Linked DNA regions of Oryctolagus cuniculus. The protein of the gene in region 3 purifies or fractionates together with the protein of the main gene of each other region. This does not show direct contact. Links are inferred from orthologs where the notes say so. Each region holds a gene or a part of one and is shown on either strand. Other genes may lie near its edges.

The links. Proteins that work in one complex are often made in the same cells at the same time.
Region 1: the proteins of JADE1 (region 3) and MEAF6 purify together in Homo sapiens (affinity purification with mass spectrometry; 5 studies listed by BioGRID and IntAct, counting the BioPlex papers as one, with this or other methods). This does not show direct contact. The link is inferred for Oryctolagus cuniculus from reciprocal best matches to the Homo sapiens genes JADE1 and MEAF6.
Region 2: the proteins of JADE1 (region 3) and ING4 purify together in Homo sapiens (affinity purification with mass spectrometry; 4 studies listed by BioGRID and IntAct, with this or other methods). This does not show direct contact. The link is inferred for Oryctolagus cuniculus from reciprocal best matches to the Homo sapiens genes JADE1 and ING4.

Annotation. Positions count from the first base shown.
Region 1 is NC_091438.1:135,239,461-135,247,015, reverse strand, and holds the start of MEAF6 (chromatin modification-related protein MEAF6), read right to left. Parts: upstream 4,125-7,555; 5' UTR 4,045-4,124; coding exon 3,955-4,044; intron 3,393-3,954; exon of another isoform or gene 3,107-3,392; coding exon of another isoform or gene 3,053-3,106; intron 2,970-3,052; coding exon 2,854-2,969; intron 1-2,853.
Region 2 is NC_091440.1:102,846,982-102,854,638, forward strand, and holds the start of ING4 (inhibitor of growth protein 4), read left to right. Parts: upstream 1-3,533; 5' UTR 3,534-3,604; coding exon 3,605-3,641; exon of another isoform or gene 3,642-3,729; intron 3,730-7,657. Other genes in the region: ZNF384 (zinc finger protein 384), read left to right, coding at 45-452.
Region 3 is NC_091439.1:35,888,339-35,895,299, reverse strand, and holds the end of JADE1 (protein Jade-1), read left to right. Parts: intron 1-948; coding exon 949-1,862; 3' UTR 1,863-4,797; downstream 4,798-6,961.

The sequences.
Region 1 (7,555 bases), on a different chromosome or scaffold from region 3:
TATGGCCTGAGAAAGCAGTAGAAGATGGCCCAAGTCCTTGGGACCCTGTACCCATGTAGGAGACCCAGAAGAAGCTCCTGGCTTCAGATTGGCTCAGCTCCGGCCATTGCAGCCAACTGAGGAGTGAACCAGCGGATGGAAGATCTGTCTCTCCCCTCTACCGGTCTATAACTCTACCTCTCAAATAAATAATAAAATAAAATCTTAAAAAAGACCAAAGACAGGACCGGCGCTGTGGCTCAATAGGCTAATCCTTGCGGTGCCGGCACACCGGGTTCTAGTCCCGGTCGGGGCACCGGATTCTGTCCCGGTTGCCCCTCTTCCAGGCCAGCTCTCTGTTATGGCCCGGGAGTGCAGTGGAGGATGGCCCAGGTCCTTGGGCCCTGCACCCGCATGGGAGACCAGGAGAAGCACCTGGCTCCTGGCTTCGGATCAGTGTGATACGCCGGCCGCGGCAGCCATTGGAGGGTGAACCAACGGCAAAGGAAGACCTTTCTCTCTGTCTCTCTCTCTCACTGTCCACTCTGCCTGTCAAAAAAAAAAAAAAAAAAAAAAAAAAAAGACCAAAGACAAATAACAGCCAAACATGCAAACATGGTGAATGAAGGCTGAACAGACCCTGGGTCGGAACAGAGCAAAACATTCTGGGGACAACTGAGGAAAGATGAACAGACTGTGTACCGGATGTTTTACTGCAGTATTAATTTTCTAGGTATGATGTTGTGGCTAGGTCAGAGTTCTTATTCTCAGGAGGCAGCCGCTGACAGTTAGGTACAAAGTGTCGTGCATAACCTCTGCTCAAACTCTGTAGCGCTTCAGCAAGAAAAAGTCTAAGGGGAGCAGGCACAGAAGCGCAGAATGGTGTGGAGGAGACCTATGTGGCGACTGAACAGTTCTGTGCACTGACTATGGTTACATGAACCTACACATGTGATAAAATGACATCCAACTGTAGATACCCATTGTACCAATGAGCATGTCCTGGTGCTGATGTGGCACCATATAGTTCTACGAAACATAACCAGTGGGGCAAACTGGTGGACTACATGAGGCCGCTCTGCACAATTTTTGCAACTTCCTATTAATCTATAAATATTTCAAATCTTAAAAAAAAATTTTAAGGTAGATACAGGTGTTTACATAGGTACAGTACAGTAAGGAAAACAAAGCAAATTTGGCAACATGTTACCAACTGGTAAATGTAGATGAACATGGAGTGCTCATGAACTATTTTTTCAACTTTTCCATAGAAACAAAAATTGTCAAGGGGCAGGCCTTTGGCACAGCGGTTAGGCCGCTGTTTGGGAGGCCCAGAGAAGCTGACAGGCTTGAGTCCCATCTGCTTCCAATTCCAATGTCCTGCTAATGTGCGCCCAGGGAGGCTGCAGGTGGTGACTCAAGGAGTCACCCAGGAGAGACTAGGACTGAGTTCTGCCTCCAGGCTTCAGCCTGCCTTTAACCTGATGGAAAATCTCTCTGCCTGCCACTCTGTCTTCCAAATAAACGTAAAAAAAAAAAATTCTACCTAAGGCCCGCGCTGTGGCGCAGCGGGTTAACACCCTGGCCTGAAGCGCTGGCAGCCCATATAGGCACCAGTTCTAGTCCTGGCTGTTCCTCTTCTGATCCAGCTCTCTTCTATGGCCTGGAATAGCAGTGGAAGATGGCCCAAGTCTTTGGGACCCTGCACCTACGTGGGGAACCCAGAAGAGGCTCCTGGCTCCTGGCTTCGGATCAGCGCAGTTCCAGTCCTTGCAGCCATCTGGGGAGTGAATGAACCAGCAGATGGAGGACCTCCCTCTCTCTCTCTGCGTAACTCTTTCAAATAAATAAGTAAATTTTTTAAAAAATTCTACTTAAATTTTTAAAAATTTCCAAAATTTGAAAAGAATCATTTTTTTAACATTTTACTTATATGGGGGTTAGCACTGTAGCGTAGCAGGTTAAGTGGGTGCTGGCATCCCATATGGGCACCGGTTTCTGTCCCAGTTCCTCCACTTCCAATCCAGCTCCCTGCTGATGTGCCTGGAAGGGCAGCCGAAGACGGCCCAAATGCTTGGGGCCCTTGCAACACGCAGGGGACCTGGATGGAATTCCTGGCTCCTGGCTTCAGATCAGTCCAGCCCCAGCTGTTGCACCATTTGGGGAGTGAACCAGCATATGAAAGATCTCTGTCACTCTGCCTTTCAAATAAATGAAATATTTTTTTAAAAGATTTATTTATTTGAAAGGCAGAGTAACAGAAAGGGAGAGACAAAGAAAGAGAGGTCTTCCATCCGTGGTTCACTCCCCAAATGCCCACAACAGCCAGGGCTGGGCCAGGCCAAAATCAAAAGCCTGGAACTCTACCTGGTCTCCCACACGGTTGGCAGGGACCCAACCTTGTGGGCCATCTTCCACCGCCTTCCTAGCACATCAGCAGGGAGCTGGATTGAAAACAGAACAGCTGGGATTAGAACTGGCTCTCTTAAACAGGATGCTGACGTCACAGGTTGCAGTTTAACCCCCTGTGCCACACAGCCAGTCCCAAAGAATAACACTGTAGTACAGTAGCCACACAGGTATGGCAAAACTTCCAAGGGTTGAACTCAAGACTGATCAAAATGTGGAAAACACTACCAGAGCTGTGCAGACTGTCACACGCCGTACTCCATCCAAGCCTTACACAGCTCTTGGGCAGGGCCAGACTCCCCCTGTTCTACTCGGGGAGGCAGGGGCGGACCCTCAGTGCCAGCTCAAGCCCAGACCTCCCTGCACACCACCACCTGACGGCTGCTGCCTCCCCGGCCCCATGGCTGTCAACAACACACAATCCCACAAATGGGTATTTCGAGAGCACAACCTTTGGAAACTCACTTTTGGTTGGTTAGATAGCGGTCCCAGCCACGAATGATATTGCCATACATCTGAGTGTCTTCCAGGTAGCTTCCTTCAAAAGCATAGATCTGTCTCTCCAAGTTGGCCAGAGTTTCCTGGGAGACGACAAGCCAGGCCGGGGATTAGCTGTGCCCACACTGAAAGCCTGACCCTGGGCTTATCATAAACCCAAACTCACCCACATTAAACTACCTTCGTGGAGGGCTGGAGGACTCCAGGAACGGTAGGCCATTCAAGTCCAAGAGTCTGGATCTTTCGGGGTGATGGCCCGACCCCTTTGGGAACAGAACGGACTCCACAGAGCCTGTCCCCAGGTAAACGCCCACACGTGCGGAATTCTGCACAGGGCTCTCGGAAACCCAAGTGTCAAGAACCGGGCCGAGGCAGAACAGGGGCAGGCTCCACGCCCACGCACAAAGGGGACCGCCACCAGGCGCGGAATGAGCGAGGCACTGGGCACTGCCCTCCCAAGGGCTCGGCGAGGCCGCCGGCCCCGGGCTGCCCGTTGTCATGGAAACCTGGAAGGGCGGCAGCAGGTGCGCCCAAACGCGGGGTGCACGTCACGGCTCCCAGTTTCCCAACCCGGTCCTCGTCCCCCGCCTGTCACCTTCTGGAAAGATCACACCCCTGCCCATCCCAGACACCCTCCCACGGATGGGCTCCTAGGACCAAAAGGGACCTACCCCCCCACCATCCTCTCAGAGACCAGACCGGCTCCCACACTCGGCTCATCCCCAAAGCCCACCCGCAGGCCGGGACCCGCCTCCGCCCGCGCCCACCCGCACGACCCACGACACCCGCCCTCTCAGGCGCCCGCACGCACACGCCCCGGCCCGCGGCGCCCTTCCTCCTCCGCGCCGCCGAGGCCCGCTCCCCGCCCCCTCCGGGCTCCGGCCGCCGCTCCGCCTCCGCACCGCCGGAAACGGCGCTCGGCGGCACGCGCCCCGGCCCAGGCCGCCGGACTCCCGGGCCGCGCGCGGCGTCCCCGGAGTAACCGACGGCCTGGTGCGGCCGGGCTGGCGGTCGGCGGCCGGGCGAGCGCGGGGCCCCACGCCGGAGCCCCGGGTCCCAGCCGCTCACCGCCAGCTCCTGCTTCCGCTTCACGAGCTCGGCAAGCTCCCGCCGGGTGTCCGGGATCTGCGGCGGCGCCGCCTTGTTGTGCATCGCCATGTTGGGCTGAGGCGGGCAGCAGCGGCGGGCGGCTGGGGGCGGGCCCTGCGATCCGCTGCCGACCGCCAGGGGGCGCCCGCTGCACTGCGCCTGCGCGAGCGGCTTCCGGAGACGCGCGCCGCCGGGCGCCGCGCTTGGGCGGGGCGCTGGGAAACCCTGCCCCGGGGATGGATCCGGCAGGTGGGGCTGCCGCACCTGCTGGGATCTGCCTTTCCGCACTAGGATTGGCCGGCGAGCTTTAGGGGCACCGCGGGCTCACAGTGTCCAAAGCCAGGCTCGTGCTTAGAGTTCCTAGTCATTCCCCTGGGGAATGACTTCACTGCCACCGAGGGGCCCGAGTCAGAGCCTGAGGGTTATCCTCACTCCACCCACCCTGGGTGAAGCTCCTGGCTCCTGCTTGGCTTGGCCCAGCCATGGCCATTGCAGCCGTTTGCGGAGTGAAGCAGCGTTTGGAAGACCTCTCTCTCTGTAACTCTGCCTTTCAAATAATTTTTTTTAAAGAATCCTTTATTTGGGGGTGGGCATTTGGCTCAGGAGTTAAGCGCCAGCTTGAGATGCTGGCGTCCCATATCGAAGGGCCCCAGTTTCAGTCCTGGGTATGTTGATTCCAGCTTCCTGCTAACCTGCACCCTGGGAGGCAGAAGGGGATGTCATGGGATCCTGCCACCCAGTTGGGAAACCTGGGTTAGGTTCTAGGCTCCTGGTTTGGGCTTGGCCCAGCCCCAGCTGTTGTGGGCATTTGGGGAGTGAAGCAGCCAATGGAAGCTCTCTGCCTCTCTCTCTGCCTTTCAAGTAAAGAAAGAAACGTCTTTAATCCTTTAAGTTTTACTATCTATATTCTCCATCTTGTCTATCTGCTAATTTCTGGAAATTTCTTTTCGTGTATAGATTTAGTAACCTGGGATCTTGCCAAGCTCCCTTATTAATTTTAGGAAGGGTTTTCTAGTCCAGATTCCTTGGAATTTTTTCTGTGACAATCATTTTATTTGCAAATAGGGAATTGTTTTATATTGTTACTCCTTCCCAATATGTATACTGTTTTTAAAATATTACTTTTTAAAGGCTTATTTTATTTATTTGAAAGGCAGAGTTAGAGAGGGAGAGAGACAGAGACAGAGACTATGAGATTGAGCGATCTTCCATCCACTAGTTCAATCCCCAAATGACCACAACATGACCATCCAGCCAGGCTGGATGAGGCTAAACCCATAGAAGTCTCCCAGATCGGTAGCAGGGGCCCAAGGACTTGGGCCATCCCCAGCTGCTTTCCTGGGCACACTTGCAGGAAGCTGGACTGGAAACGGAGTAGCTGAACTCCAGCCTGCACTCTGATACGACATGTGGGCATCCCTGGGAGTACCTTAAGCTGCTGTGGCACAACACCAGCCCTGAGTGCTCTTTACTCCCTCTCCTGTCTCACTGTGCTGATCAGCATTCCTAGTCATATATTAAATAAGAGTGAGGAAAGTAGACATTGTTGCCTTATTTCCTATCTTTGGGGAAAAGCACTCCATCTTTTTTTTTTACAGGCAGAGTGGACAGTGAGAGAGACAGAGAGAAAGGTCTTCCTTTGCCATTGGTTCACCCTCCAATGGCCACCGCGGCCGGTGCACCGCGCTGATCCGATGGCAGGAGCCAGGTGCTTCTCCTGGTCTCCCATGGGGTGCAGGGCCCAAGTACTCGGCCATCCTCCACTGCACTCCCTGGCCACAGCAGAGAGCTGGCCTGGAAGAGGGGCAACCGGGACAGAATCCGGTGCCCCGACCAGGACTAGAACCCGGTGTGCCGGCGCCGCAAGGCGGAGGATTAGCCTAGTGAGCCACGGCGCCAGCTAAGCACTCCATCTTTAACCATGAGGTACAATGTTAGCTGAAGGGGTTTGTAGGTACTGTTTATCATGATGAGAAAGTTCCTCTGTGTTCCTAGGGTACTGAGAGCTTTTATCATAAATGGTATTGACGTTCATCGGGTGTTTTTCTTGTGCCAACTGACACGTTCATATGAATGTTCCTTTGTTAAAGATGTATGTATGTATGTATGTATTTGAAAGGCAGAGTTACAGAGAAGAGATACATACATAGAGGGACAGAGAAAGGGATCTTCCATCTGCTGGTTCGCTTCTCAAATGCCCACAGTAGCCAGGGCTGGGTGAGGCTGAAGACGAGAGCCAGGAGCTCCATCCTCTACTTCCACATGGGTGGCAGGGACCCAGCCATTTGAGCCATCATCTGCTGCCTCCCAAGGAGCAATTACAGGAAGCAGAGCAGCTGGGACTTGAGCCCCGATATGGGATGTTGCAAGTGGGGGCCACACCACCAGCACGTGAGTTTTCTTCATCAGCTTTGGATTATGTAAAAATTCACGTTCAAATGTTGAACCAGGCGTGCCTATCTGAAATAAACCCTGCTTGGCCATCTTGTGTAACTTTTTAATATACTGCTGGATTCAGTCTGTTAATATTTTGTTGAGGATTTTTGCAGCTAACTTCATTAGAAATATTGATCTGCAGCTTTTCTTTTGTACTGTCCTATCTGTATTACAGGCATTTTAAATGAGATGTGAAAGTTTCCCTGATTTTTTTTTTTAAAGATTGATTTATTTTACTTGAAAGTCAGAGTTACAGAAAGGCAGAGGTGGATAGAGAAATTGAAGTCTTCCATCTGCTGGTTCACTCCCCAAATGGCCGCAACAGCCAGAACTGGGCCCATTTGAAGCCAGGAGCCAGATGCTTCTTCTGGGTCTCCCACATGAGTGCAGGGGCCCAAGAATTTGGGCCATCTTCTACTGCTTTCCTAGGGTATAGCAGAGAGCTGATTTGGAAGTGGAGCAGCTGGGTCTTGAACCGGTGCCTATATGGGACACCGGCATTACAGGTGGCGGCTTTACCCACTATGCCACAGCATTGGCCCCTGAATTTTTTTAAGATTTATTTATTTGAAAAGCAGGATTACAGAGAGAGAAAATAAGATACAGAAAGAGATATCCCATCTGCCACTCCCTATATGGTAACATTAGCTGGGACTGCGCCAGGCTGAAGCCAGAAGTTTTATCTGGTCTACCATGTGGGAGTGGGAGGGACTTGGGCCATCTTCCGCTGCTTTCCTAGGCACATTAGCAAGGAGTTGGAGCAAAAGTGGAGCAATCAGGTGCCCATTTGGGATGCTGGTGCTGAGGCACCAATTTAACCCCTTGTACCACAGCAACAGCTCCTGTTCCCTACTTTTCTTTAAAAGATTTATTTATTTGAAAGGTGGAGTTTATAGAGAGATTCTCCACCTGTTGGTTCACTAGCCAAATGGCCATGATGGTCAGAGCTGGGACAGTCTGAAGCCAGGAGCCAGGAGCTTCTTCCAGGTTTCCCATGTAGGTGCAGGGGCCCAAGCCCTTGGGCCATCTTCTTTCCCAGGAACATTGACAGGGAGCTGGATCAGAAATGGAGCAGCCAGACTCCAAATGACGCCCACGTGGGTTGGCAACATCACATGCAGTGGCTCCACCGGCTAGGCCACAG
Region 2 (7,657 bases), on a different chromosome or scaffold from region 3:
TGTGTGTCTCTCATCCCTCAGCTTGTTTTTACCATCTCTCTCAGGAAACATACCTTATGAAACACATGCGCAAACACAACCCTCCTGATCTCCAGCAGCAAGTGCAGGCGGCAGCGGCGGCAGCAGCAGTAGCCCAGGCTCAGGCCCAGGCCCAGGCCCAGGCACAAGCCCAGGCCCAGGCCCAAGCCCAGGCCCAGGCCCAGGCCTCCCAGGCATCGCAGCAGCAGCAACAACAGCAACAGCAGCAGCAGCAACAGCAGCAGCCACAACCACCACACTTCCAGTCTCCTGGGGCAGCCCCCCAGGGTGGGGGTGGTGGGGACAGCAACCCTAACCCTCCACCCCAGTGTTCATTTGACCTGACCCCCTATAAGACGGCGGAGCATCATAAGGACATCTGCCTCACTGTCACCACCAGCACCATCCAGGTGGAGCACCTGGCCAGCTCCTAGAGATCCGTGCTGCCGCCCACTGGGAAGAGGAGGAGGAAGCTCTGGTCCCTGCTTTCTCCAACTCCTCTTGGTAGAAGAAGTCCTCTTCTTCTTGACAAGCCTTGGCTACGTCTCCTTGGGCCTCAGGCACGGCTTTTTCATCATAAGACATCATCCTTATTCTCTACTCTTCAAAAGGAACATCAGCCTTCCTGATTGGCAAAGGAATACTGAGCTGATGGTGAATCCAGCAGCTTCCCCTCCCAAGCAAAGCTTTTAAATTGGGGGTTGGTGCTCAAGGGAAGGATTTGCTATGACCTCAAAAGAACTTGCCCTTTGTGGGTATTTGCCCTCTCCTCACCCTCCTCATCCTCAAAATTTGGGCTGATGTGGACTAGAGGCTGGCCCTTCCTGATCACAGAGAAGAGGGAGCCCTAGCTGCAACCAGCCTCCTGTTCTGTCCTTGCCGGCAAAAGAACAGAGGCTTTTCATGTGCCCGAATCCCTGAGGGCATTCTCTTCCTTCCATGATCTCACTTCACGATTTGGGGGGGGAATTAGACCTTTTCTTTCTAAGGGGGCAGGGGCTGAGATGTGGTCTCCAAGGGGCCAGACGTGAAGGGTGGCTTGGAAGTGTGGGTTATGGTTTTCCTTGGAGCCTCTCCCCATTCTCAGCCAGCCAAGGCCCTATACACTCAGTCTACCTATCCCAAACCCCAAGGAGCTGTGGGATTTTGTGTTCTCTGAAACTCCAAAACAAAGGGTGTTGCAGAGAAGGGGAGAGACAGGGCAAACACACGGACTGGACTTAGCTCCCCAGGTGCCACGGTCAGATGCCGGACACGGATTTATATATAAATATATATATAAATATATATATACCCACTCATCACGGCCATCTTTGTTGTAACCATTTCTGTGTTTATAAATGCATTATCTCTGAGAATTTTCATATTTGATGTTTTGTTTATTTTTGTCTTTTTTTCCTCCACCCTGTCTTCTGGCCATGACATTTTTGTTTCCTTTTGACTTTTTAAAAAAAAAATCATGGCAGATTTCAGAGAAAAGAGAAAATTTTAAAAAAATCAGGAAACAAGTTGTTATAAAGCAGTTTAAAAATGAAGAAAAAAAGAAACTTATGTACAAACTAAGGGGTGTTTTTAGAACATTGTATAGAAATAAATTCATGTAAAAGGATCAGAGGCAGTGGAGCTACTGATGTGAGCAAGTGGGACAAAGCTCTGGGGACATGTTCAAGGCCAGTGCTGAGGGTTTACGCCAGTGGGTGTATGAAGAGTGAGTGCTTGTGTGACGAGGCTCCATGTGTGTAATTCCCCAGCCAGAAAAGGATGCCCTTTCATTATCTCTTAAGTGAGATCTTGGTTTATGAGGGTTTCTACACACTAATTCTGTCATGAGGTTTGCATTGCCTAAATATGTGAGAATAGGGTTTCAGTTCTCACCATCAAAAAAAAAGAGAAATGGCCTCTCCAAAGGACCTATGATGGGCTCCAGGAATTGCAGTTGGCAAAGCGTGTACACACACACCCTGTGCACCTTCAACCAGAGGCTCCCAGTGGTGGGAACCCTCATGGGTGCAGGATTAACAATGCAGAATGGAGTTCTGAGGAGTGAGCATGGTCTGGAAGCTCATACCTGGGTCCGGACCCCACCACCTCCAGTGTTGGCCCCAGTGCCTCTTGGAGCTGTTAATGAAGGAATTTGGTAATTTCCAAGATTTACTTTCAAGAATTGAAGACTAAACAGAGAGTTGTGACCAAACTCCAACACCTGACAACTGGTGGATCTCTGGGACTACTTGGCAAACAGTGTTTGGCATGGCACAGATCCTTGGTTATTCAATAATGCCCACTTGATTTGCTGGGCAGGCAAGATAATGGCTACTGCTGCAATACTGAGCAATTAGCAAGTATATTTGGTGACCAAATATGCCAGTGTTTGGTCGCTTCCTGAGCATTTACTGCCTCTACTCACGGCAGAAAAGGGCGTGATGGTCTTCACCAATATTAGAACAGGAACCTTTTTAAGGATACACAGACACTGCAACAACCCTGTGAGGTAGGTACTGTTCCTACTGTATAGAAAGTGAAAAGTGCACAGATTACTTGTCTAAGGGCAAGGCACCTGTAACTTCAGAGGGGAGATCCTGTACCCTACCACTGCTCAGTGGCCAACTTGGGGGTCCACCTTGCCCTTCCACGTACTTATATTACGTGACTGAAAATATTAGAAACCTGCCACATGGCATTGATAGTAATTGCGATGGACGGGGTGACTATATAACACCACTAGTTGGTTACGGGTTTTGAGTTCTGATTCTCCCATGAGGTACAGCCCTGATGGAAAACATTGAGATCACTAGACTATAGCTGACCAGGGCGATGGCTGGCATTTAACTGGCCTAATTGTGGTAAGAGTTCCATGCCCCAACCCCTTCATAATTATGTTAACATCACATAAGAACTCAGAAGGGAAGCAAAACGTGAGATTTCCTCAGTGACACGAGGGTAAGGTCAGAAGCACTACATTTGTGCTGCTGATAAACGCTGTGCAAAATTACCTTTATTTTCTAATTGTATTTAAAAGCAGGAAGTTTATAAATAATGAATCAACTTGAGAAATAATCCAGGGGAGATGGTGTTCGTGTGAACACAAATACGGAGCGTTTAAATCTCAGAGCCTCATACTGCTTTCCAACTTCCTAGCTTGCCTAAAAGTCCTGTTTCAGCCGGGACCTCCTCTGCTTACCAGACTCAGACTCTGCAAAAGAAAAAAGTTGGCCTCCCTTCTTGAAGAAAAGAGACCTTTACGGGCCCAATCCTAAAGAGAAGCTTCTATCCCCATTACCACACATCGCCGTTTTGGAGGGGAAAAAAAAAAAAAAAAATTTGCAAGAGAATGCAAAATGGCGACCTCCAGTGACGTCATACCTGTCTCGGTCGCGTACTGGAGTCTCAGTAAGGGCGGAAGTCGGCCACAGCCGCCTCACTTCGGGCGCTCGTGGCTACTCACGCAAAAGGAAAACATCCAACGTCGGGCGGATGTGTCCGGGCAGGTAATTTACTAAGGGCGGAAGTTCTTTTAAGGGCGGAAATACTATGACCCAAGAATAGCTTCCGGGGCGAATCGGAAGTTGCTTTGTTTTGCTCCAAGATGGCTGCGGGGATGTATTTGGAACATTATCTGGACAGTAAGAGCAGGCTGGAGGAGGGGGTCAGGGGTCGTAGAGTGGTGTGGGGATTGGGGCTGAGAGGATCTGTGGTCCCGAAGTCCCGGCGGTGAGCAGCTCCTAATTGTGCAGGGGTTCCGTGGGAGGCAATACTGAACGGTGTCAAGAAAGAGGGGGCGGGGCAGTAGGGTCGAGGCCTCTGGGTTGAGGGTCGGCGAGGGAGGACTTGCGCGGAGGGTCTCAGGATTTGTCTTAAATGGCTGGTCGACGAAACACGGAAGATTTTGCCGCTCCAGTTCTTTAGGGTCCCCAGCCTCGGGGTAGATTGGTTCCCCCCGGGGGTGGTTCAGAGTCGGTGTCACCCACTGCCTTTTGGAGCAACGGCCAAGACCTGCTCTAGTCTCCTGGTTCTTTCCCAAGTGGTTTCTCTTGAGGCTGGGGTGGTGTTGAGTGACCGCTATCAGATGGTGAACCGGAACGCTTCAGGGAGTAAAGGTCTGATTCCCTTCAAATGGAGATTAGTGCTGTTTATGCCGTTAGTGTAACCCACCCCTTCACAAAGCCTGGCCCCTGCTGCACTTACGTTTGTCTTAGTGTCACCAGTCATTCATTCGACAAATACTGAGTTCCTGCTATGGGTCAGACATAGTGAGGATTTTTTTTTTAATTTATTTATTTGAAAGGCAGAGGCAGAGAGGGAGAGGGCTTCCATCCACTGGTTCACTCCCCAAATGGCCACAATGGCCAGAGCTGGGCCTATCCAAAGCCAGGAATCTGGAGCTTCTTCCAAGTCTCCCAGTAGGGTGCAGGGGCCCAAGGACTTGGGCCATCTTCTACTGCTTTCCCAGGCCATAGCAGAGAGCTGGATTGGAAGTGGAGCAGCCAGGACTTGAACCAGCTCCCATATGGGATGCTGGCACGCAGATCAGAGCTTTAACCTGCTGAGCCACAGCGCTGGCCTCATGAGGATATTTTTTAAAATGAGGAAGACACAGGCCCTGCCCTCAAGAAGCACGTGATCTAGTAGAAGTCAGATGTTGCAAACACTCATATATATATATATATATATATATTTATAAAAGTGTGGCAGGAAATATTACAGATATAAGTACAGTGGTTAACAGTAGAGAGAAAGGGGCTAATTACCTCGGGATGTAGGTGAGGCTTTGCAGAGGAGGCAATATTTGAACAGAATCTTGAAGATTTAACTGTTTACTTGCTGTATGGGGAAGGAAAGGTAATGCTGTGGCAAAGGTATTGTGTGATGTGCTTGTCGCAAGATCATGGGACGATGAGGTCAGAGTCTGATATATACAAGGAGACATCCCAAAGCTCATGGAGAATAGAATTAAAAGGTGTTTATTTTGGTCCAGGTTTTTTATTTGAAACATTTATTTACTTGAAAGGCTGGGTGACAGAGAGGGAGAGAAAGAGGTCTTCCACTCTCTGGTTCACTGCCCAAATCCCTGCAACAGCCAGGGCTGGGCCAGCTGAAGCCAGGATCCAAGAGCTCCATCCAGGTCTCCCCCATGGGTGGCTGGAACCCAAGGACTTGGGCCATCTTCTGTTTCCTTCCCAGGCACATTAGCAGGAAGCTGGATTGGAAGTGGAGTAGCTGGGACTTGAACTGGCCCTCTGATATGGGATGCTGGCATTGCAAAAGGCTGCTTAACCTGCTGCACCAAAACACTGCCCCGACCCAATTATTTTTTAAAATCCTGGCGTATATGAGATCCTCAGAAGGCTCATGGCAAGTGCATATTCTGAAAAATATATGCATTGAATTCAGTCTTTTCTGGACCAGAACTTTTTTTGAAGATTTATTTATTTATTTGAGAGTTGGAGTTACAGAGAGGGAGAGACAGAGAAAAAGGTCTTCCATCACTCCCCCAAATAAATAGCTGCAACAACTGGGGCTGGGCCAGGCCAGAGCCAGGAGCTTCTTCTGGCTCTCCCACATGGTGTAGAGCTGGAGCGGAAGTGGGGCAGCTGGAACAACCTGGTGCCCATACGGGATGCCAGTCCTGCAGGCGTGGCTTTAACCTGCTGTGCTGCAGTGCCAGCCTCAACCCGATTTTTCTGTATTCTGTTTTTCCATTAATGTGTTAAAGTACTGTCACATGACCCTAAAAAGAGAGCTTGGGAAATGAGACTAAAGGAGGAGGCTAGAGCTAGATTGGGCAAGCTCTTTTTTTTTTTTTTTTTCCTAAAGATTTATTTTATTTTTTATCTGAGAGGCGGGGTTACAGAGAGGGAGAGACAGAGAGAGTGAGCGAGAGCAATCTTCCATCTACTGGTTCACTCCCCAAAGGGCCACAACAGCCAAGGCTGGGCAAGCTAAAGCCAGGAACCTGGAACCTCCAATCTCCCACATGGGTGCAGGAGCCCAAGCACTTGGGCCATCTTCTGCTGCTTTCCCAAGTGCATTAGCAGGGAGCTGGACGGGAAGTGGGGGGCCATGACTCAAACCAGTGCTCATATGTGATGCCAGCACTGCAGGCAGCAACTTAACCTGCTACGCCATCGCTGGCCCCTGGGCCAGGTTTTTTCATCCAAGCTAAGAAGTTTGGATTTAAACTCCAGTGATTATTTTGAGAATAATGCTTTGTGGGTTTTTTATTATTTTTGTTGTTTTAAGATTTATTTATTTATTTATCTGAAAGCAGAGAGAGAGAGAATGAGATCTTCCTGGTTCATTCCAGCAAGTGGCTTCAGTGGCTAGGGCTGGGCCAGGCCAAAGATACGAGCCTGAAGCTCCATCTGGGTCTCCTACGTGGGTGTCAGTGACTCAAGCACCTGGGCCGTCTTCTGCTGCTTTCCCAGGCACATTAGCAGGGAGCTGGATCAGAAGTGGAGCAGCTGGGGCTGGAACTCGTGCTCTGATTTGGGATGCTGGATCACAGGCAGCACTGTGCCACAATGCTGGCCCTCAGTGTTATTTTTATAAAGGAAAATAAGCTACGTATGATAAATTGGATCCAGATAAATTTGGTAACGTGGGGATCAGTTAGTGAAAACAGTCTGGGTCAGAGATGTGGGCCTGATCTCAGAGAGTAGAAGTTAAATATGCCAGGAGTTAAATATGCTGACTGAACGAGGGGTTGAGCAAGAAGGGAGAATTTCCGGTGACTTCTTCCTGCTGGAAAGTGAGGCTGATGTGTACCATCAGCAAGATGGGAAATCCAGCAGAAACAACAGTGTGTTTAATTCCATTTAGAGGTAAGCATAGGACTGGTTATTATAGCTATGAGGGCAAACAAGATTTTTCAGGAAAACAAAGTGAGAAAATGAGAGGACTGAAGTGTAATCTCAAGAAAACATTCACATTGAAAGGACAGACCAAGACATGTCAGTGTTGAAATCACCAGGAGGTGTATAATCAGATGTGAATCCTGAGAGGCAGGAAGTTACTCCAAGGAGGGAAGATGGTGCCAGCTGCTGCATGACATTTATTTTTCGGTTATTTTTGAATTGTAGAGAAGGCAATCTGCCCTCCGCTGGTTCACTTCCCAAATGCCAGCAACGGCTGGAGCGAGTCAAAGCCAAAACCAGGGCCAGGAGCTCACTATGGGTCCCCCATCGAGTGTCAAAGATCCGGCTGCTTGCAGCATCACCACTGCCTTCCAGGGTGCACGTTAGCAGGAGTGTGGGAGCGGAAGCAGAGCTTGGACTCCACCCCAGGCGTTCCCACACAGGTGTGTGAGTCCAGAATTGCATTTTAATTGTTAGGCCAAACATCTACCCCTGCACAGATTTTTTTTTTTTTTTTTTTTTTAGAATAGAAGTAATAAGAGATCGTTTGATTGGCTAAGTCATTTTTGATTTGAAGCACTAAGTGACTTGGCAATAGCAGGCCTGAGGTGCGTTAAAGCAGTAGAGGCATTTTGAAAGTTTGAGGTAGAGTCATGGGAAGAGAAAAAAATGTTCCTTTATGGAAAAATAAATTATTACAAGTATTTATTGAGTACCTTCTGTATGCAAGGCATAATTCTAAACACTAGGGAAATAGGTGAACGAGACAGACTTGTCTCTGCTCT
Region 3 (6,961 bases):
CTTGAATGGGCTCCCGCCTCGCCTTGTTTTTTGGTGTTTCGTACTTTAGTATCAGAGAGAACACACGAGAGCTGCTCTGTGGATGCGCTTGAGGTTCTCGGTGCTTCTGATGCATTCTGGTGTGTCAGGAAGTCACCTGTGTGTTTGCAATGGGAGGTGATGATTCTTCAGTGAGTTGTGAGATGACTTCTGTGGATCATGACCAGCATTCGGAACCAGTGAAAAAGAACAGGAAATGTCAGCGTACTTTTCAGGAGATGTGGATTAGTAATAGTTCACGAAACGTGACCTTTGACTAGGTTCCACTGTGAGATTTAGATGAAGAATTTAACTTACCCTCAAGGTGGATGACAATTCAGACAAATCCTGTAAATTTGAGAACGTTATGTATCAACTTTTAGACATGTTTGCTCATTTTATGTATTTACACGTATTTATCCTCAAAATAACCCTGCCAGGGTGTAGACACTGGAGAAAGAAACTAAATGTAGTGGTCCTCCTCCCTGCCTTTTTGGTGCTGTCAGTTTCCCTGGGGAGAAGGGGTCCGGACACAGCAGCTGTGGCCCCTGGAGCAGTTGCTGCTTTGCACCTGGGGAGAGGGAGGAGAGGCAGCCGCTGCCCACCTGATGTGTTCTGCAGGGATTTCCCTTAGACGATCAGTTACTTTGTTTGAAGGAAAATGTATTCCTTGAAAACCTGAAAACTTAGGTGAGCCTCAGCTGTTTTAGAAAAACAAAGTTTCCTAATGCAGACTGAATGGAAAATTTCCAAGGCAGGTCATCAGCTTGAGATAGGATAAAAACTGAATTTTGACGGACTGGTGGCGGCATATTGAACTGCTGGGCGGGAAAGTTCGTATCAGTTGGTCTACCCAAAGGGTCTAGAGTTTAACTCCTTTGGATGCGCCTCTGTTGTAATTCTTCTGTATTTGTGCTTTTATATTCACAGGTGTGCCTTCTTCTTCCTGCGCCTCCTCCTCACTGGAAAACATGCTTTTGTTTAACAGTCCTTCTGTGGGGCCTGATGCTCCTAAGATAGAAGACTTGAAGTGGCATTCTGCGTTCTTCAGAAAACAAATGGGTACTTCCTTGGTTCACTCACTGAAAAAGCCCCACAAGCGAGATGCACTGCCCAACAGCACTGGGAGCGAAGGCAAAGCTGTGCTCAAGCAGCCAGACCCGTGTGGTAGGCGGGAGGGGATTGTGGTCCCGGAGAGCTTTTTGAGCTTTGAAAAGACCTTTGCAGAAGCACGTCTCATATCGTCAGCACAACAGAAAAATGGGGTAGTGACACCAGACCACGGGAAGAGAAGAGACAATCGTTTCCATTGTGATCTCATTAAAGGAGACTTAAAGGACAAACCTTTTAAACAGAGTCACAAGCCTCTCAGGTCCACAGACGTGTCCCAGAGGCATCTGGACAACACGAGAGCTGCCATTTCCGCTGGAGCAGGGCAGTCAGCACCCGGCATGAGGAAGGAGATGGTGCCCAAGTGCAATGGCTCCCTAATCAAAGTGAACTATAATCAGACTGCAGTCAAAGTGCCTACAACGCCTGCCAGCCCAGTGAAGAACTGGGGAGGATTCCGGATTCCAAAGAAGGGGGAGCGGCAACAGCAGGGAGAGGCCCACGAGGGGGCCTGCCACCAGCACTCAGACTACCCATACTTGGGCCTCGGCCGAGTTCCAGCCAAGGAAAGGGCAAAAAGCAAGTTAAAACCCGACAGTGAGAATGACGGGTATGTCCCCGATGTGGAAATGAGTGACTCAGAGAGTGAGGCATCAGAAAAGAAGTGTCTCCACGCCAGCAGCACCATCGGCAGGAGGACAGACATTATCCGGAGGAGCATCCTGGCCTCCTGAGGAGACAGGGATGGCCTGGGAGCCCGGCGAACTTGGCACTGGGTGTGCTGGGGGGAGCTCTGATGCAGGGGACAAGCAGAAACCTGGTACTCCTGAGCTACACAAACACATTGACTTGCAATTCAGATTGAATTTTTTTTTTTTTCCAGAGTCATTTAGAAATCATTGTTGTGAGAAGTTTGTGTTATTTGCAACTTGTTGAGGAAACAGAAGAGTAGATTGTAACCATAAGACACTGCTAAGAGGAGAACCTGAACTAAACACTAAAACAAGAATGAATTAAGTTTTTAAGAGAGCAAGGCTTCAGTAAGCCTCCTGAAGTTTCATTGCTCTCTGCATTCTTCCCAAAGCACAAACTCTTGGTAACCTGAATATACGGAATCAGATGTGGTTCTTGAGACACCCTTACGTACCATTTGTAGCCCGTAAAGCTTATTTGCTAGGACTGCGGTAGATCTTGAAATCGATTTGGCCCGCAAGGCTATTTTTTGTTGCATGATAGTATGCAGGCAGCAGCTCTGAAGCTTCACTAACACTGGGGAAACTCACGTGTAGACGCAGCAGCCAAGCAAGAGAATTTAAACGATGGTCATGGTTGGAATTGCTGAAGGGACAGGGTAGAGCTGCTGCGGCTCGGAGGGTTAGGGTGAATGTTGCAACGTCCTGCTGCCTGATGCGCCTGAGTGGGTTGTGGGTGCAGAACTGATGGAGTGTGAAGCTGTTAGGAGGGTTCTATCTCTGAGAAAGGGCAGTTAAGGTCCAGTTTCTACCAGTCCTCTTGACCTTCCTCCTCCCTAACTGTTGGCTCTTGGGCCAGCTTGGGATTTCCCTGGCCATTGCCAATACCTGGCCGTCTGGCTTCCAGCAGCACAATGGCTATTCAAGTTTAAGCGATGAACTTCGAGACTCTGGTTACTCATACTTCCCAGAGCCAGTCTCTAGTGTGTATGTTGGGGAATCCGGGCTTCCAACATGAACGGATTCCTTAAGAAAAAGGAAAACAAGAAAAGAAAAAAAAAAGAAAAAATAAAATAGGTTATATTTCAAAACAATAGAAAGGCAATAAGTTGCGATAAGCTCTTACCATTGACCAAGGTTATACAGGAATGAGATTGATGTGTACCCTTGAATAGTTTTCTGGAGTCAGAGTTCTAAACTCTAATTCGTAACTTGGACTTTCTAATTGCAAATGGCAATAAATAGTAAGTTATCAGCAATAATAAATTTAGCATTAAATTTGAGTACAATGTTGTTTTTTGCACTCAATGTAGTGCGTATGTATTAAGACAGTGGATAGCGTTAAGGTCCTGTTAATTTTCTTTGGAATTCAATGTAGTTGTGAATCAAACTTAACAGAAGGAAAGTTTAAATAGCATTATGAGCATTTGGAATGAGCCCGACTTCCCCTAAATTACCCCTTAGTTTGTTAATAGCAGTACCCAGATTCTTGATTCATTTTTACATCTGTTTCCATGTGGCAGGGACATTCTAATACCTAATGCATAAATGCTTTGAGTTCTGTAGTTAACTTTCAAGTCTTCCAGATGATCGTCAACAACAAAAAAGGCTTATTGAATTCCATCTTGCTATGCAAGTTTTACCAGATGATCAGATAACAGATCTGATGCATCCCCGTTGTATGTATGACATTCTCAAACCAAGTCTTAACTTTTGAGTACATTTTAGTAGCTAATTCAGGGGAGGTGAAAGAATGACCCAGGTTTTTAGATTGACTATTTTTGAGCTATGGGGCTCAGTTTGAAAGACTGCTGTCCAGATCAGCTTGTTGCTACAAATATTAGGAGGTTCTTATGAATCCAAGTTGTACATTCACTTGTAGCATAATTTAAAAATGAGATTTTTTTTTTTTTTTTGCATAAGAGCAAAAACCTTTTGCTGGATATAGGAGAAGGTTGGACTCTACAGTTATCTTTTGACTACAGTAACAGCTCTGGGTGAGAGTAGAATTTATAGAAGAATAATTTGTCAAGCCATAGAGAGAAAATCTAAATTAATCTAGTAAATGTATGACCTCTCACCATTTTAAGAGGTACCAGATTCATTTGCACTATTAGGAATGCTAGTTTTGTGCAAAAGTAATGCCTTACCTGTTTTTCCCCATGTTTAGGTTGAAAAGCTTTCAAATGTTCCAAGTTATGCTGAACCAAAAACAAAACAAAACAAAAACAAAAAAATAAAAAAGCCCACACAAAAACAAAACACACAAAAAATAAAAAGTCCACTTTTTATTCCTGCTTCAAAATGCAAATGGTATAGAGCACGGTTTCTCTGACAGTATAATGATAGCTTTGTAAGTTAGTTTCATGTCATGCTGGGAACTCTGTATGAGGTGGCCATAAGCAGCAACCAGCCAGCCTACCCACTTGCATTCTATTAGTACAGAACCATTGGCCTTTTTTTTCCTTTTCTTTTTTTTGTGTTAAGCTTTATCTTTCCTTGTGCATCCTGACCAAGAAATATCTTTGATTATGATCAAATGTATTATGTCAAAATGTAGGCTAGTTAAACTTTTGTAAAGTTGCCTGGAATGTCATTTGTTAGGTTATAAACACAAAATCTTAAATGAAGGGTTTTATGTGTTGTGTACAAATCTTAATTATTTTGAAATGGACAGACTTGTCATTACATTTGTAACCTTGTACAGAGGATTTTTCACTATGTGCCTAGCTTGGTGTCCATTCAGCTAAAGTTGAAATAAAAGGTGCATGAAGAGTAAAAAATCAGAAATTAAACAAAGTATATGTAGAGATGACTATTTTATATTACATGGCCCAATCCTGTATTTATTTCTACCCCCTTTTTGAAAGTATTTATAAAACTAGTTGAGGACAGCTGTATTTTTTTGTTGAACTATTTAGTAGAATTTGTGCCTTTTTGTCTGTATGTGAATAAATGCTGTACATTTTGCAATACATTTTTAACTGTCTTTTGAAATCTGCTTTTGGCTAAATAGTTAAAGGTGTATTATGATTTAGTAATCCTGAGTTGGTGCTTGTTTATTGTCCTGGAGTGTAGATCAGAAATGAGAACAGTAGGGAACAGATCAGAACTGTGCAAAAGCCCAGATTTATTGGTGCTTTCTGGCTCAACTCTGAGAGGAGACTGAAAAAGATAATGGTTTGATTTTAGTCTTCCCCATCTGGAGTTCCTTCCAGAATATGAGGGTACTTCAACAAGTTTGCAGAAAATGTGTATATGGAAAAACTAGGGATTATCAAGTCAAGTTTTTGCACCAAAATATACTTAAACATTTAATTTTATTTTCCCATTAACATTTTGAAGTACCTGGTAAAATTTGGATCAGAAAACATCTCACTGTTGAAGCTACATAGACTTCAGGGTTAGAGAGACCTTGGTTTGATGGCTGAACCACAGTTTACCAAGCCATGTGACCTTGGCCAAATCGCTTAACCTTTATGAACCTCATTTTCCCATCTGTAAAAAGAGGATAACAATTTAGTCTTAGTGTGTTGTGATACTGAAAGGAAGTTCATAGAGTGGCACGCAGTATGCCTTTAGTAAGTGATAGGTTATTAGGTGCAAGGTACTGACTGGCAACATAAACTGATGAGCCTTCTGAGGCAAGATGTTATTCCTGAGTGATGGGAAGGTTGCATTGATAAGGTGCTTTAAAAAACTGAGAGGTTTCATTAACTGCTTGCTTTGATCACAAAGCTCTGGGACACAAGGGCAAGAAGAGAGATTACCTGCATTCCACAAAGGTGACTTGTCCAAGATCACTGCATTAGGCATATGCAGAAATTTCTAGTTTTGAATTGTACTGCATGCAGAAATTAGCATATACTGAGATGCACCTTTCTTTCCTCTTTGGGTTGGAACAGCAAAACTGGTGTGGATTATTCTTTCTCATGCTGATTAAGCCGATTAGGAGCAACAACAGGGTAGCTTTTTGGCTCCAGTCTAATTTGTAATTTCTACAGAAATTTGGCTAGTCTTTTCTTGAAAACATGAGTTGTCTCTTTTGCTAAAGGCTTGTTTATTCTGTCTTGTTTCTCCTTGGTGACTGCTTACTTCCATGTTGCTTTCTCTGAGCAAGACCCGAGAGGGAAATAACTATGATTCTTCCTACAAGGTCTTAAAGTTGAATAACCACAATAGTTCCCTAGGGAAATTAAGTCCCCAGGAGCCAAAGGAAGGCCCTATCATTGGCAGTTCTGCAATCTGTGATGGGAAATGTGGCACTAGGGACTCATGGTTCATGTTTTCACCGGCATTGCTTAGAAAACAGTTTCTACCTTTGAAACATTAGCCATCTGCAACAAACTTTGCAATTAACTTCAAGGTTGAAGTCTCTAATCCTTGTATGATTCTGTTTTAATGCTAAGAACTGCATTAGATAATGTGTTCTAGTGGAGGCTGACAGTGAAGGGCTTTGATGGCCTGGTCATTGAAAAAGAGGACACAAGCAAATCTGTTGTCTGGTCCATTTCCTTGACATCAGCTCTTCTCTGTTGCTGGTTTGGTATGTCTGCAGTGTAGCTTTTCCTGGGTTCTAAAAGATGCTTATTGGGCACTTCCTTTTGGATGTACACAGGTACCTGAGATTTTGGAAATACTTTTTTCCCCCCTGTTAACAGTCATGGGAATTCCTTGTGAATCATCTCTTCAAGTCCCATAGCCAAATGGCAGTAACTGACCCAATATTCTTGGCTTCTCTAGGTCCCAGTGCCACTTGCCATATAGATCAGGTCTCTTCATTTCTCCCATAATTACTTTTAGCAGCAGCCTCTTGTCTGGTTTCCTGGACTCAAGTCTTGCTGAAATTAATCCCTCTCTCCAATTAGGTGTAACTTTGCCAACACTATCTCCATAGTGATAGATAGCAATTTTGTCATTCCAGCTAGGGAACTTGCTTTTGCAGATAATTACAAAGTGCTTATTAAATAGCAGGCACTGGTCTGTATTTTACGTATAATAATTTGTTTAGGCCTTATGATGTGAGCTAGGTGTTACTGTCTCCACAGTTTGCAGATGAGGAAATTGAGCACACAGAAATTAAAGGTCAGTAGGCGGTGGAGTTACTGTACACAAATTAAGCCAGTGTTGGGTTAGGCACA